Linked DNA regions of Arabidopsis thaliana. The protein of the gene in region 1 interacts with the protein of each later gene in a biochemical or structural test. Each region holds a gene or a part of one and is shown in the gene's direction. Other genes may lie near its edges.

Evidence for each region.
Region 2: the proteins of DRIP1 (region 1) and DREB2A form a complex in vitro, tested with the Arabidopsis thaliana proteins (one study listed by BioGRID).

The regions. Positions count from the first base shown.
Region 1 is NC_003070.9:2,078,335-2,083,880, reverse strand, and holds DRIP1 (DREB2A-interacting protein 1), read left to right. Parts: upstream 1-1,783; 5' UTR 1,784-2,173; coding exon 2,174-2,279; exon of another isoform or gene 2,280-2,674; coding exon 2,675-2,774; intron 2,775-3,086; coding exon 3,087-3,411; intron 3,412-3,573; coding exon 3,574-4,004; intron 4,005-4,113; coding exon 4,114-4,164; intron 4,165-4,296; coding exon 4,297-4,369; coding exon of another isoform or gene 4,370-4,479; coding exon 4,480-4,659; 3' UTR 4,660-4,985; downstream 4,986-5,546. Other genes in the region: GAUT6 (galacturonosyltransferase 6), read right to left, coding at 42-192. UniProt on the Arabidopsis thaliana protein: E3 ubiquitin-protein ligase that acts as a negative regulator of the response to water stress. Mediates ubiquitination and subsequent proteasomal degradation of the drought-induced transcriptional activator DREB2A. Functionally redundant with DRIP2.
Region 2 is NC_003076.8:1,600,412-1,604,854, forward strand, and holds DREB2A (DRE-binding protein 2A), read left to right. Parts: upstream 1-1,793; 5' UTR 1,794-1,958; intron 1,959-2,215; 5' UTR 2,216-2,238; coding exon 2,239-3,246; 3' UTR 3,247-3,628; downstream 3,629-4,443. Other genes in the region: AT5G05420 (FKBP-like peptidyl-prolyl cis-trans isomerase family protein), read right to left, coding at 3,629-3,707, 3,804-3,852, 3,941-3,982, 4,072-4,159, 4,239-4,412. UniProt on the Arabidopsis thaliana protein: Transcriptional activator that binds specifically to the DNA sequence 5'-[AG]CCGAC-3'. Binding to the C-repeat/DRE element mediates high salinity- and dehydration-inducible transcription.

The DNA.
Region 1 (5,546 bases):
AAATCAAAGCAATCAAGCATTTCCACACGATCGTCAAGTACAATGAAATGAAAATAAGAAGGAGAGGAGACGAAACTGACCAACGGGAGTGATGCTCTTAAGCCGATTCGATACGAAAATAAGCGGAGCGAATACAGATATCGATAGCAGAGCGAGGATCAAAATCCTCTGCCATCGACGAATTTGTTTCATGAATCTACAAATAAAAAAAAATCCCCAAATCTATCTTCCTCGATGACTATTCTTATCACATCAAACCCTGAATCGTTCTCCAGGAAGAAGTAGCAAGAGACTCACAAATCTCGGAGATATCCTGCTTGATCAACAAGCAAAAGAACGAAACGTGAAGAACTTAGGGTTTCTGGGATTGCTTTTCTCTAGTGGGAGATTCTATTCCTCGCTTGAATTTCTGGATTTGGGGTCGGAGAGAGGAGTTTTAGATTCAGAGCTTCTTCATGCATCATCGGGGGATTGTGCTCACTTATATATATTTAATTAACAGAAATAATCATTGTTTAATTTGTGTTAGGTCTCTATAAAATTAAATTAATGTTATTGGTCGAACGAATTAATTTGTTTATAACTTTATAGTATATAGTTTTTTGGGTGTTCGTGTTGACATGTCAAATGTTATTAGGGTGAAAGGAAGCAGTGATGCGGATCAGGTGCGGGCAGGTGTACATGTGAAGACATGTGATTATGCCGTTGATGAAGCTGTAAGTAATTTAATGTGATCAGTCTTCTTTGCAAATTTTATCAATCACCAGTCAGACGAAGACACGTGGATAAAGTTTTTCCTCCCTCCTCTTAGAAGACAAGAAAGGAACTTCAGTCTCATATCAATGGATGATTAGCCTATTATTATGAAAAAGATATCTAGCATGTCGGCCAAAAAAAATTATGGCATAAATAGAATTGTAACGAAAAATGACTTTTGCCGATTCTGTTCATTATTTTTCAACAAAAATGTTAACTGGTTAACGAAAAATGTTTAACTAAGTCAAATGGGTGTTAACGTTGACTATGGATGCTTTTTTTTTTTTGAGCCAAGTAAGATTACATTTTGGGTTTTTTCTTTATTTAATGAAGTTGTTGGCAATTTGCTTAATTCGCTATTGGAACGACGGGTCTTTTCATTTATTATGTGTAAAATGGTGGAGGTAGATTATGGAGTACATAACACTCGGTTTAATAAATCATGACAGTATCATATAAAGATACTTAATATGCGCAAAGCTTTGAATGATCAAAATCGCTAGCTAGTGTATCATCAAATTGTTGCCGAAAATCTTAACTTTGACGTCGGTTAAAACACTAATCAGCATAGGACACATAAAACTACATACGTACATATGAAAATTTCTCTGTTTTTCCTAATCACCATTCATCTGTATGCTACTAAAAATCGAGGTGTCAATATTGAAAGTTTGAAACCTTATTAGCCTTCATGCTTCGATTAGCGAATGGGTACATAAGCCTTCTACAGGCCCTTTGGAACAAAACCTCTTATCTGATGTTATCTCGTACCCCATTATACGAATGACGAATCGTTACATTTGGTCGTTGATTCGAATGTTCCATATTCATTGATTAATGTAAACGAAATCCATTATTATAGTTATACAAATCATTTTTACCATCATCTGATTATAATATGAAGAGTTCACCATCATTTACTTTTCAAAATATTAGGATAGCAAATAACAATTTCTCACCCAAAAAGTTGAAAAGAAATTTATGTCGTTCAACTTTTTTTTTTTACAAAACTCTTCTTTCCTAATTAGATTAACCAAAATAAAGAATGTTTGACCTAGTTTTCCTAATTAAAGTAACACAAAGATTTTGACCCAAAAAAAAACGTCTTTGAGCGCTCGTTTTCTTGTCGACGAGAGAGCTCTTAAGACAGAACACAAAGATAAAAAGAGAAACCCTTGTTCCAATAAAATAAAAAGAAGTGACACATCGCGTCTCTTAAATTTTAATAGACGACGACGGCCACTTCTTGTCCGAATCGTACGTCAATTCTTCTTCCATCTCTCTCGCACCATAACATTTATTCTTCAGATCACCAGCGACCGAGCGAAAGAAACGACACTTCTTCGCCGTTTTCGTCCACATGCAGTTTTGGGGATAGCACGTTGTGAGTGATTAAGCCCAACAGATAAAGAGAAAGATGATGATTAAGGTGAAGAAGGAGACGATGAGGGCATGCTTAAGCTGCTCTATCTGCGACAATATCCTCCGTGACGCCACCACTATCTCCGAGTGCCTCCACACATGTCAGTTCCTCTTTTTAACCCACCAAATGTTTCGAAATTCGCTGACATTGGCTTTGATTTCTTCTCAATTTGGATGATTATATTATAGCTCTGTCTTCTTCGTCTCGTCCTATAATCGATACAATTGAAAAGTGGGTCAATGAATAGTTTTTGTTGACCAAAAAGAATATGCAATTTTGACTGCTTCAATCTCTCCTTCTTCGTCTTTCTAGTGATAGTTGATTCAGCATTTTCATGTATAGTTTCCTTGTGGGTTTCAGCTTCTTACTTGTATGCAATTCAATTTGAGTTTTTTCTTATACCAAGTATGAAATTTGCTCACATTTATTATAAGTCATGTTGTTAGTTGCTATCTACTGGAATGGAATAACTTTTTAGATTACTTTCGTACGCAGTTTGTAGGAAATGCATCTATGAGAAGATCACGGAGGATGAGATAGAGACTTGTCCCGTATGCAATATCGACCTCGGTAGCACCCCATTGGAGAAGCTGAGGTAAGCTATTCGTGTTCTGTATTTCAGACTCTACCAGTTCTCATCAAAATATGGTTTAGTTTGGTTAAATTTCTTTGCTCCTTGTTCATCTAATTTGTGGACTCAATCCAATTGCTTTTCTTGTTGGTGAAATGAACTGCTATAACACAATCTCTGGAATCTTGTTCATTTAATACACGTAGCACAATGGTTTTTATGAGAGAGAGACCATTTATAGGATGTTGTAGGAGAATCTAAATAGATCTCTTTTGTACTTTCCTTTTTCTTACTCGTTATTGTACTGATGGGAGCCACTTGTGTGCATGGTTTTAGGCCTGACCACAATTTGCAAGACTTGAGGGCCAAAATCTTTGCTCTAAAACGAAGAAAAGTGAAAGCTCCTGGAATTGTGTCCTTACCAGGAAAGAGGAAGGAGAGATCTATATCTTCTTTGGTTGTGAGCACACCTATGGTGTCAGCACAAGCTGGAACAACGAGAAGAAGAACTAAAGCACCTACAAGAAAAGAGTTACGTAATGGTTCTTTGGCTGAGAGAACTGTGAAGAAGGAAGAATCTTCTGGGGATGAGCTTCTGGAGAGCACAAGCTCACCCGACACTCTTAACAAATTCACTCAGAATAAAAGACAGTCAAAGAAGGTGATCACTGAACTACTCTATTTTCTCGTAATGACTTCATATTTGACATGATTTGGTTACATATTTATTTTTGTTTGGTACACTTCAAAAGTAAATATTCAGTAAAAATATTTGATACTGTTATTGGTCTCACATTCATTTGAGTTATTTTGTTTTTTGCAGTCATGTAAAGAGTCCATCTCCAATAAAGAAAACAAGGATGGTGATGAACCCTGGGATTCCAAAATGGATTGGAAACCTTTGAACTTTCTGGTTGAAGTGGCAAATGGGACAAAGCCCTTGAAGTCTTCTGCTTCTCAAGGGTCAGGTTCAAAATCTGAGCACGCGAATGTATCTCGCAATCAATTTCAAGGGAGTAAAACCAAAACTAAGAATAAAAAGAGAAAATGTAAACGTGAGGATGACAAGAGTAATAATGGTGATCCTACAACATCAGAAACTGTTACTCCTAAAAGAATGCGTACAACTCAACGCAAAAGGTCTGCCACCACTTTAGGCGATTCAAGGAATTTGCCACAACCAGATGAGTCAAGTGCAAAACAGGAGAGGAGAAATGGTCCCGTTTGGTTCTCACTTGTGGCGTCCAATGATCAGTGAGATTTTTGCTCTCATATCTGAAACTATTTCCTTTCATGATCTTTCTCTCTTTCTTCATTTTGTTTCTCTTCTCTTGGTATATTGACAAGGGCTTACTGGTTACAGGGAAGGAGGAACTTCTTTACCTCAAATTCCAGCAAATTTTTTGAGAATAAGGTAGGTTACAGTTTAGGTATTCTTTGTTTTATATATCCTGTGTTGTCGCTGCATCTTACATAGTCCCTCATTTTTCTGTTATGAGGAATTCTTTTGTTGGGGAAGATAATCCAATGTCTCATTCTGTGATAGGGATGGAAATACAACAGTTTCTTTCATCCAAAAGTACCTCATGAGGAAGCTAGATCTCGAGAGTGAAAATGAGGTAAGGGTCTTTATATGCACTATGGCACGAGAAAGGATAGAACGTTTGAATATAATGGAACTTATATGTTTGGTTGATAAAAAATGGACATACTTATGGTTTATGTTCAGATAGAGATAAAGTGTATGGGAGAAGCGGTGATCCCAACGCTGACGCTTTACAATTTAGTGGATCTATGGCTCCAGAAAAGTTCAAACCACCAACGGTTTGCTGCATTGGTAGGTTCTTCTGCAAAGGATTTTACGATGGTTCTTGTCTATGCTCGGAAGCTACCAGAGTGCAACATGTAAAGGACTTTAAAGACTCATGTTGTTGCAGAAGAAGATTCTGTGGAGACAGGGTAATCTTTTCTTTTCGGTTTATGGAATCTCTCAAAGCATTACAAGAGAGAACATTACTAGAACTACAGGAGCAGTCGAATGTGTTGTGAAATTAGTATTAATATTTTTTTCTATAGACGAAATATACACTCATGAGTCGCTTTTCTGTGCAAGAAAATACAAAATTTGTTTCCCTTTTCTTTCTTCTTCTTCTACTATGTGTCCTCTCTGGACTTGCATGTAACATTGTTGTCACTTTCTAATCAAATGTTGTAGTTTAAGATGTTTTAGATTGATTTATATGCATTTATTTGGGTACTACATCATTTCTATGGAAACTAAGGTTTTCAAGAATTACTGTTCAAGTGTTGACTGTGGATGACGAATGTAGTAGAACTGTGATGACCTATATGGAGGTAGAAAACTACCAAATTAACTACATAAAACTTATCTGACAAAAGACGAATGAAGTTCATTATCACTATTTTGTGTTATCGTGAGTACCACTATGTGGTGACAACCATCATGCTTAATATGAGTAACATATTTATATAACAAATTGTTATGATGTTCAAAAAATGTTACGAGTATGCAATTTAACAGATTCTTTTTAATTCATGCTTTACATATAGCCATGATGCTTAACGATATCCAAAAGAAAACAAAAAAAAATCATTGAAGAGATTGCACCTAGACTAGATTGCCTCTCGGATGACCTTGTACATGTGTTGCTCTTAAGAAACGTAATCTATGCATCATAACTAAAGGAAAGTTATACATGTGTTTTAATATCAATTAAAATTGGTTGATTACATACTTAAACTAGTAAATCACAATCTATGAATAATCCGGACTCT
Region 2 (4,443 bases), on another chromosome or scaffold:
AAATTCCTTTCCTAATGTTTTAGTTTATTAACTGAGGTGTGTGCACGATCATTCGGGTTGACCACCAATCTTGGCATCCAGTCATCTACGACTCGATCAAATATTTATGTTATTTTAAAAATGAACTGTAACCAAGATAACATTTTTTTCATAAGGTCAACGACCCTTGGGATGTTAACAGAGCCAAGTTTAGTGAGCACTATGTGCTCGTTTTTTCTTAACACAATTCTAACGTGGTTTGGCCAAGCCAAGTCAACATTTTACTTACATCTCGTTTTCCAATAATGGTTTTGTAATCGATAACCTAAATCATTGTAATGAATGCGTTCCTCCCTATCGATCCTAGGCCTTAGACAATGCTGAATGATTCATAGCCACGCGAATAACCTATTCATACTAATATGGAAAGAAAGAAGCCAAACTTACAGAGCTCTTCTCACGGTCGTCGAAGAAAAGAGAGTCTACAGTCAGCAACAAAATTAGTGTTGCCATCATGGCATCATCTTGCAGCTTTTTCCGCACAAATAATTTATCATCCAAATGTTGTTCACTAAACCAAAAACAAACAAGCATTACAGCGAAGAAACCAACTCGTAGATACAGATTTCCAAATTCATGCCTTATTTAGACCAATAAAAACTGAAATTTCTCTTCAGCGAAAAAAAAAACAAACAAACTGAAATTTCATATAGATCCAGAAGATAGAAACTTGTAGGCTCAATCGACTAGACTAGAAGATGCTCACCCGATCGTGCTTGAGATAGCGAGATAGTAGCAACACCGACGGTAGAAATAAAATGGACGACACCCATCCAATGGGCTAATTTAGATTAACGGGCTTTAAGGGTTTGATAATGGATGTTAATTAACTGAGGCACATGGGATTGTATCACGTAGGCAATGGGTTTGATAATGGATGTTAAGTAACTAAGGCCCATGAGGTTGAAGTACGTAGGCAATTGCGTGAGCTTACGTTAGCGATGCCGTTAGAGACACGTAGTGGATGAAGTGGCTTTGGTTAGCAAAGGACACATGAGGCACATGCAAAGGCTATAAATGACTGCTGCTTTGCTACAACTTGCGATTCCCAAATTTTATAAGGTAATGGACCCTATCACCTCTGCTCGAAGCTAAGCCACCCAAGTTTGAGCTTCACCATTTGACACGTCTCTAGCTAATACTTAATGCTTAAACTTTAAACTAATACTTCATGTTTAAGACATTTCTGGCTGACACATTTATGAATTCGCTCTATGTCGTACGTACACCGGAAACCTTTAATTTTACAATATTAACCGTGATCTTTTTAAAAATATCTATATAAACGATAAGTATCTCATCAAAACAAAATTGAATAATGTGCACGTTTGTAAAAACTAGAAAAACAGGCAATAAACATCATCATCCAATTACACATCTAGTAAGTGTGATGCAGTGGCAAACTGGCAATAAACCAAGAAAAATCGAGAAAGAGCAGATGAGACAGTGTTGTGTTGTCAGGGTTAATAAAAAAAAAATGAAGATATTTTAAAATTTCATAATATTTAAATAATGAAGTAGTTTTATGATCTTATCCATAAATCAATTTTAAAAAGGTTTAAACTTTACTTTTCCGTATCAACAGCGTGTTTCGAGAAGATTCGGGAGGACACTCGTCGAACGGAAAAGTCGTCTAAGCCTTTATGTTCGAATCAAAAACTGACACGTAACCTTGCTCTCAAACAGAAAAATAAAATAATGTTAGAAAAATCTAGAGAAGGCTATAAATACTCCGTAGATACTTTGTCTTCCTTAGATATTTTGATTTCTGCTAAAGCTGTCTGATAAAAAGAAGAGGAAAACTCGAAAAAGCTACACACAAGAAGAAGAAGAAAAGATACGAGCAAGAAGACTAAACACGAAAGCGATTTATCAACTCGAAGGAAGAGACTTTGATTTTCAAATTTCGTCCCCTATAGGTACGTTGATTTCTGATTTCTTACAAATTTTCAATTAATTTCTCTGATTAGGTCTCGTCAATTGGTGATTCTAGGGTTTATCTTCGTCTTTAGGTTTTCGATTATTTCCTTTTAGGTATAGCTGTGAAATTGGGAAATTTTAGGTGTTCCTAATTTGATAACAAATAAGTAAATCGATCTGATTTTGAACCAAGTTTAAGTTCTCTTGCCTTATGTTTCAGCTTGTGTTCTGATATTGAAGTGTTGTTGTATTGTAGATTGTGTTGTTTCTGGGAAGGAGATGGCAGTTTATGATCAGAGTGGAGATAGAAACAGAACACAAATTGATACATCGAGGAAAAGGAAATCTAGAAGTAGAGGTGACGGTACTACTGTGGCTGAGAGATTAAAGAGATGGAAAGAGTATAACGAGACCGTAGAAGAAGTTTCTACCAAGAAGAGGAAAGTACCTGCGAAAGGGTCGAAGAAGGGTTGTATGAAAGGTAAAGGAGGACCAGAGAATAGCCGATGTAGTTTCAGAGGAGTTAGGCAAAGGATTTGGGGTAAATGGGTTGCTGAGATCAGAGAGCCTAATCGAGGTAGCAGGCTTTGGCTTGGTACTTTCCCTACTGCTCAAGAAGCTGCTTCTGCTTATGATGAGGCTGCTAAAGCTATGTATGGTCCTTTGGCTCGTCTTAATTTCCCTCGGTCTGATGCGTCTGAGGTTACGAGTACCTCAAGTCAGTCTGAGGTGTGTACTGTTGAGACTCCTGGTTGTGTTCATGTGAAAACAGAGGATCCAGATTGTGAATCTAAACCCTTCTCCGGTGGAGTGGAGCCGATGTATTGTCTGGAGAATGGTGCGGAAGAGATGAAGAGAGGTGTTAAAGCGGATAAGCATTGGCTGAGCGAGTTTGAACATAACTATTGGAGTGATATTCTGAAAGAGAAAGAGAAACAGAAGGAGCAAGGGATTGTAGAAACCTGTCAGCAACAACAGCAGGATTCGCTATCTGTTGCAGACTATGGTTGGCCCAATGATGTGGATCAGAGTCACTTGGATTCTTCAGACATGTTTGATGTCGATGAGCTTCTACGTGACCTAAATGGCGACGATGTGTTTGCAGGCTTAAATCAGGACCGGTACCCGGGGAACAGTGTTGCCAACGGTTCATACAGGCCCGAGAGTCAACAAAGTGGTTTTGATCCGCTACAAAGCCTCAACTACGGAATACCTCCGTTTCAGCTCGAGGGAAAGGATGGTAATGGATTCTTCGACGACTTGAGTTACTTGGATCTGGAGAACTAAACAAAACAATATGAAGCTTTTTGGATTTGATATTTGCCTTAATCCCACAACGACTGTTGATTCTCTATCCGAGTTTTAGTGATATAGAGAACTACAGAACACGTTTTTTCTTGTTATAAAGGTGAACTGTATATATCGAAACAGTGATATGACAATAGAGAAGACAACTATAGTTTGTTAGTCTGCTTCTCTTAAGTTGTTCTTTAGATATGTTTTATGTTTTGTAACAACAGGAATGAATAATACACACTTGTGAAGCTTTATGGGCCTTAGTGTGTCTCACAATATTTGAAATCGTAAGAGGAAAAACTATACGATCTCCACAAAAAAACTCATCATTGGATTGAGTCTTAGGAAGTTCTCTAGGGATTAGAGGGCAGCTTTATTTAACATTAAGCAGCTCGACATCAAAGACCAGCCAAGAGTCAGGGGGAATGCTACCAGCACCTTCCGCACCATACCTGTGAGCCAGACAATTTTATCATCTCTCATTAAAAAAAGCTTAAAATAAAACATCACATTATGGAAAAATAAAAAAAGATTTGCAAAGGCTTTACCCCATTTCTGGAGGAATTGTAAGCTTTCTTTTGCCACCAACAAGCATTCCTTTAGAAATTTACAAAAAGAGATCAAAACAACACACCATTTGACCATATTTAGTGAAGAAAAACCAGTAAGAAACTAGCTAGGTTACCATTAAGGCCAACATCCAATCCCTTAATGACTTTTCCAGCATCTGTATGTGTAACAGCAAGCACATAAGTATCCAAGTACCACTCACACATTAATAAAGCTCTTACTTTCGCATCAAGTTATAATACCAACCTAGACGAAACTTATAACGTGATTTTCCAACGGTGGAATCGAAAATCTTCCCATTCCCCTGAAGCTTTCCAGTATAATGGACACTTACCTGCACTCAGAGACAATAGACTGACCTCCAACAAATATTTGCACACAAACTACAACAGTTTAGGACTAAATGCTCATACCCTTTTGCCAGGCTCAGCTTTCTTGCCGTTGGGGTTTCCCATGCATAACTCTTCAACAATGAGGCCATCTAGGTCAGGCGTTTGCTTCTCAACACTAATAGAAAAGGCTTTACTCTCCACTGTAGCTTCCTCACTTATCTTCTCATTCTTCTTAGCAGATTCAGATGGGGACATGGAGCTTTCACTCCTGCAATAATATCAAAAG